2 linked regions of the Xenopus tropicalis genome follow. Each later gene encodes a partner of the first gene's protein in a complex. Links are inferred from orthologs where the notes say so. Each region holds a gene or a part of one and is shown on either strand. Other genes may lie near its edges. The genes, in order: raf1 and rap1a.

Region 1 (2,520 bases):
CACATTTGAATTAATCCTGCGGGCCCCCCTTATAGATATTTTATCAGGGAGCAGGTAATTCTTGGGTGCTGTGGGGCAGGATGGGGGAGCAGTTGTTTGGTGCCTGGGGGGCAGTTACTTTCTGCTTATGTACTTGGGTACCATGATATCCCGCTCGGAGCCAGTAATGACTCCTGTGACTGGGCATTGGTCACTGTGCAGCATGTGACCTTGTCAGAGCTCAGTTGTGGGCCTTGATTCGCTGGACAGATATCTTTCTCCATGAGGGGTTAACCGTGAAAATCGGAGACTTTGGATTGGCCACGGTAAAGAGCAGGTGGAGCGGTTCCCAGCAGGTGGAGCAACCGACAGGCTCCATACTGTGGATGGTAAGGATGGGGCTCTGTAATACAGGGCTACTTGTGGGCAACTTGTAGGGACTGCCCGGGTACAGCTCATATGGGGGCACTGGGAGGGGCACTGGGAGGGGCTTCTGTTTTACCTGGAGCATTTAGAGAGTGGCGGTTCATTCTTTGTATCTGGCCTATGGGAGAGAGGGGGCTGAGCTGTGTCTGCCTCTGATTGGATATAGTTGCCCTGTGATGTGGCCCTTACAGGGGCAGAACAGATATTGGGCCCATTTCTACCCAATAAACACAGGATTATTTGTTCCATTTGTGTCACTGGGTTTCTGCATCTACTTTTAGGACTGAGCTTTTAGGTCACATTCATAATATGGGGCGGGGAATTGCTGGCCACGCCCCCAAGCAGATGGGCTGTCTCTCCTTTTACTTAGGGGCTGTGACGAATCAGAGGCTGCCTTTCCTTCTTGGGGGGCACAAGGTTTAAGGCACCCCCACCTGTGGATGCCATAGTTACTGTATGTTCCACTGCATTAACCACTAAATGCCCAAGGTTTGTAGTTAAACTGCCCCCTGTCTGCCCCACAGGCCCCAGAAGTGATCCGCATGCAGGACAATAACCCCTTCAGCTTCCAGTCGGACGTCTATTCCTATGGGATCGTGCTGTTTGAGCTTATGACCGGGGAGCTGCCCTACTCCCACATTAGGGACAGGGACCAGGTGAGTGACACCTACACTGTGCGCATCAAGGACTACTTGCCCTTTAATTGACTATTATAGTGCATACGGTAATAATCTCAGGCAATTTGCATTTGGCCTTTATTTTGTATTTATTGTGATTTTAGGACTTTCAGCAGCTCTCAAATTTGGAATTTTAGCAGCTGTCTGGTTGATAGGGTCAGATTTCCCCTAGCAACCAGGCAGTGATGTGACTGGGAGATGAATAAGAATAGGACTGAATGTAAAGAAAAGGTCTAAACTGGAGTCGCACAGAGCAATAGGCTTTTGGCTGCCGGGGTCAGTGACCCCTACTTGAAAGCTGGAAAGAGGCAGAAAAGGAAAGCCTTTCCAAAACTATAAAGACCAATTGAAAAGTTGCTAAGAGTGGGACCTGATCAATTACATTGTAGAAGTTTCCTTAGAGGAACACTGTACCCCCACACTGAGCCCCCAGAGCGTTTATATCATAATATGGGGCCAGTGACAGACTCCCCAAACTGCCTAACACCCATAAACATTGCCCTTGCCCCCCTGTTTTGTGCTGTGCTCCCCCAGAGATCACCTGACAGGAAGTAGTGTGGGAATAAGAGACCGATCTCTGCCCATTCATTGGCTGATGTGGCCTAGCCTGTGTGTGTGCCCTGTGAATGGTATAGTGCCCGGGGCGGACACACCAGTCTGTATGAAAATGGTTTCTTTAGATGAAGCACGGGAGTTACGTTATTTGGGGGTTTAGTTTCCCTTTAAAGGTCAACTGCCCCCTTCAAGGTTCCTTTTAAAAGGAAACATTTAATTTAGGAACTCCCAGCACCCCTGATGGATTCCTAATGTATTACTTGTTCAGGAGGCTTCTGGCTCTGCTTGCTGAGAAGCACCCCCTACCTACCTACCTACCTACCCTTCCTGGATACGACTTACCCCTCTCCTGTGCCACTGCTCACAGCCCAGTAACTTCTTTCCTTTGCTCTTAGATAATATTTCTGGTTGGACGAGGAGGGACGGTCCCCGACCTGAGTAAGCTCTACAAGAACTGCCCCAAGGCAATGAAGCGTCTCGTGGCCGATTGTATCAAAAAAATGCGGGAGGAGCGCCCCCTATTCCCTCAGGTGAGGTGCATAGACCTGCATTGCTCTATTGTACAGTGCCCCCCAATGTCTGGGTACTGTATCTGTAACCTTGTTATGGGCTAAGGGGGCCCAGCCTGAAGGCCAGTTAGGGGGGGATTTGGGGTGAGTGGGTATTTGTGCCCTGGGTACCCCTGGAACTATAGCGGGGTGACTGTTACCCCAATGTTTCTATATATCTGTAACCTTGTTATGGGCTAAGGGGGCCCAGCCTGAAGGCCAGTTAGGGGGGGATTTGGGGTGAGTGCTTATTTGTGCCCTGGGTACCCCTGGAACTATAGCGGGGTGACTGTTACCCCAATGTTTCTATATATCTGTAACCTTGTTATGGGCTA
Region 2 (3,830 bases), on another chromosome or scaffold:
AGTAAAGAAAAATAGTTACATGTATGGTCAGCTTTACCCAGGGCGACGCCTTCTCCTGTCAACCTCTTCTTGTGCTTTCTGTTTTTTCCTTCTCTTCTGCTTTTATTTTTTTTCCATTCTGCATTTCCACTTTCGTATTTTTATGGATTTCTTTATTTCTCACTTTTTTCTGTCTGTCTTACCAGCAGTAGCCCAGTACAGCCTATGCCAGACAGTTGTTTAACTTACATGATCATTATTGGAGTGAGCTGTGTGGAGCTGTAGGTTGCCGACTTGGTCCCTTTTTTCCTCCTTGTACAGTCAGTTGTTAAAAAAAAAAAATCCAGCTATCAACACAGGACTTCTGTTTCATAAGGAGTTATTTTGTGAAATGGTGAAGGAAACAAGTGGAACTTCATCTATTTTCAACTACTTTGCAGCTTTAAAGTATACTTATTTATCAAAGTTACATTAATCTGGGTCCAATAAGAGGTTTCAAAGCTAAGGCTAGTTCCACATGGAGCTGATTCCTCTGGCTGCCCTTCGTCTGTACCCACAGGCACTGTCAGCCTAGGTGCTAATACATGGAATGGATGTCAGACATGCACGTGACCAAGGATTTTTGCAGTGAAAGCCGCTCTGTTTGTCTAAGCAACACATTAAAATCCTCTAGAGCAGAAGGGTGGTTGTTTTTTTTTTTTTCTCACAAAATGTTAGACTTTTACTGTACGTGCTGTAAGCTCCTAAAATACTAAAACTAAATACATTGTTTTTTCATCTCTAGACTACACTATTGTGAAACAAAAATAATCCCATCATGCGCGAGTACAAGCTCGTGGTCCTTGGTTCTGGAGGTGTTGGAAAGTCTGCTTTGGTAAGTTGAGCTTTCCATATGTATATTTGGCCATGTCATAATTAACTTACATAATACAGCCAATTAGCCCATATAAAAATAATTACTCTTTAAAGGGGAATAGGTTAATATCTATCATGGTTTGATGTAGCCTATTATTAACGAGACGTATAGCTTAAATGAAAATCCACCCTAAACTTGTAGGCAGTAATGAATAATATATGGTGCTGATTTCACTCTGGGCTTAAAATGATCATTTTCCTTAAAAACGAACCCTTTATTGGAGTTTCTATAGATCTGCTACATCCCTGTGATGTTTCATATAAGGAGTTGGGCGTGTTCTAATGGTCCCTGCCAAAAGAGCTATAGGAGGAGGATAGCCAATCACAGCTCTGCAGTCACACAATACAGGCTTAAGTTCCCTATCAGGTCCACTTACCTGCTGATTCCTATCCTACAGTGCTGAGTGCTGCCGGTCCCCCTGCACATCCAGAAAAAGCAGGAAACACACATTTTTTAAAGCACATTTCTTCAGTATTTAGACAAGTATAATGCACTGGCACATTCTCGTTTTTACACAATATTTACCTTTTAATAAAAGCTCGGATACGGCCTGTGTTGTATTGTAAAATAAAGTAAAGATGAAAGAATAGACTATAATAGACAAAAATTCCAGTTGTTTGTAAGAGGGGTTGTTGTAATAATTTCATAGCTGAAATTACTTCACACTTTAGTTTTGCAAAACTTTAAGCAGTGGGCTGAAATACAGATCTAGAGATTGTACTTGCCACAAGAAATGTTCATGGTCCTCACACCAGAACACCTGTTCTATAAGGTGTAGTTTAGTAAAGCTCTCATGGCAAAATTAAATTCTAAGATGCCCAGCACAGAGAGATGCTCCTTGGCTTGTACCCCCAGCATTTTATAAATGGCTGATATCCCCCGCCCCCAGTTAATGGGGTTTATTTTTAGCTGCTGCAGGTGATGTGGTTAAACATGTCTGTTGTGTAATTTTCTTCATACATTTTATTTCTCTACAGACAGTCCAGTTTGTTCAAGGTATTTTTGTGGAAAAGTATGACCCAACAATAGAAGATTCATACAGAAAGGTAATACCTATTTTAAATGTACTAACATGTTTACATATTCTGTATTAGTGTTTATTACTTTACATTAAATAAATTGTTAGTTTTAAAATATTACCTATTTTCCACCTAAAGAAGCAGGAAGCATACCTCTCATTCACATTAAATTTACTTTCCAGTACCTCTACAGTTTGTTTGTTTTTTGTAACAAATTTGCTTATTTGCTTTGTATATAGTTTATTTGCTTTTATATATTGTATTTTTGCTTTTGTATTTGTCCATTGTATAGCCAGCCTCTATCCACATAGCTCCATGCGGATGTGGTCCTCACACCGACAGGAAAATCAAACCAACCAGATATTGGTCGGGTAGGCTGTTGGTAAGCCCCATACATGGGCTAACAAGTTTCCAAGGTCAAAAGCTGCCAGTGTATGGCAACTTTTACTTGTTCACCTCTGTGTTAAAGGAAATAAAAGACACATGGCCACAAACTGAGAGGAAGCCTTCAACTCACAGATGCCATTTCCCCACTCCAGCATCTTAGGCTGGCAGAGTCAGCCACTTCCTGTTGAAATATAAAATTCTGGGACTTGAAGTCCCTCGGCTTTCCAGAGAGTCTGTGCTTGCCCCTCCTATATCTTCTACTTCTCATTGTATAGTACAAAGCTAAGCATGATCAGTGGTCCTTATCTAAAATATTCACATTAAGTAGATACTGATCGACCTCAGCCTCTTCCTTTTGTCATTCTCTGTCAGAAGTCAGCTGTCTGTAAAAGCCTACTGATGCATTTTTGGGCACCTTTAGCATGACAAGTACTCGCCATGTAATTTCAACACAAGTCTGTGGGGGTAGTGCTCAGTGTCAAAATAATATCTGTACATGATTTAGTGCATATACATTGTGCTTCTTGATGCTAGCTGCTTTGGGAACCCAACATCAGTAGGTGTGCATGTGCCATATTTACAATAGGAGGCAGGACAGACACAGTGCAACTATGCAAATGTCATTCAATGCAAGTAATTTTAATGAATAGTGTAATTTCACACAGAAATAATCTGTCACTGCTTTTGATTAAAAAAAAAAAACAATGGAAATGCTGTGCCAACTTCTTCCAAAGGCGGAGCTCTTCCCAAGCTTTTCAGTTAGAAGCAGACGGTCGGAATGCCTCATTTCATAGCCTTGGACTTGAATGCATGACTTTAAAATAATGGGCCATGGTGTAATAGGAGGTACCCAAGTAGAAAAATGTCTACAACTTTTTCAAACATAAAAGGAACAATATACACCTGTGTTCATTAAGAACAAATTAAAGAGCTGTTTTTCCCTTACATCAGTGCATTTAAGGGAAAAAACTGACACTGCACAGCTATTTTACATTTTGCTGCCCAAGTAAGATTGCAGTTTAGTGTCAGTTTTTCTCTAGGCCGGTGCATTTCTTAATTTAAAAAATGTTTAACCTGTTATTTGAACTCCTATAGTATACATAGGTGTATAGTGCCCCCTGTCAAAAATATCTGTAAAGCTATGCACACTATTGTAACTAAAAAGAAACACTTTTTAGTTTGATGTAAGTTGATGTGCGAATGTGGGGTGTACAGCGATATAGATTTCTCCATTTGTGACACTCAAAGGGTTAATGCACTCACTTAAAGCTGTAGCAAATATGAAAAGACCTACTACATGAATAGCAGCATTTACAAGACTGTTCATAATTTGGTCAGATATAAAAAAAAAAAATCTTTATAATTTTTTTATTTCTTGTAGTTAGTATAAAAATATTATTGTTGTGAAGTCTTGTATTACATAATGTTTGAAATTAACCAAGATGCATTTTGTTTGAATTGCAGCAAGTGGAAGTGGAAGGACAGCAATGTATGCTTGAAATCCTTGATACAGCTGGAACAGTAAGGAA

The links.
Region 2: the proteins of raf1 (region 1) and rap1a are in contact, whole or in part, in a crystal structure (PDB 3KUC), measured with the Homo sapiens proteins. The link is inferred for Xenopus tropicalis from reciprocal best matches to the Homo sapiens genes RAF1 and RAP1A. Residues at the interface, in NP_001341619.1 of Homo sapiens: Thr57, Arg59, Asn64, Lys65, Gln66, Arg67, Thr68, Val69, Val70, Lys84, Lys87, Val88, Arg89, Gly90; in NP_001010935.1 of Homo sapiens: Val21, Gln25, Ile27, Val29, Asp33, Pro34, Ile36, Glu37, Asp38, Ser39, Tyr40, Arg41.

Annotation. Positions count from the first base shown.
Region 1 is NC_030680.2:153,469,444-153,471,963, forward strand, and holds part of raf1 (RAF proto-oncogene serine/threonine-protein kinase), read left to right. Parts: intron 1-249; coding exon 250-368; intron 369-929; coding exon 930-1,061; intron 1,062-2,032; coding exon 2,033-2,167; intron 2,168-2,520. UniProt on the Homo sapiens protein: Serine/threonine-protein kinase that acts as a regulatory link between the membrane-associated Ras GTPases and the MAPK/ERK cascade, and this critical regulatory link functions as a switch determining cell fate decisions including proliferation, differentiation, apoptosis, survival and oncogenic transformation.
Region 2 is NC_030678.2:59,473,897-59,477,726, forward strand, and holds part of rap1a (ras-related protein Rap-1A), read left to right. Parts: intron 1-763; 5' UTR 764-796; coding exon 797-853; intron 854-1,872; coding exon 1,873-1,941; intron 1,942-3,765; coding exon 3,766-3,822; intron 3,823-3,830. UniProt on the Homo sapiens protein: Counteracts the mitogenic function of Ras, at least partly because it can interact with Ras GAPs and RAF in a competitive manner. Together with ITGB1BP1, regulates KRIT1 localization to microtubules and membranes.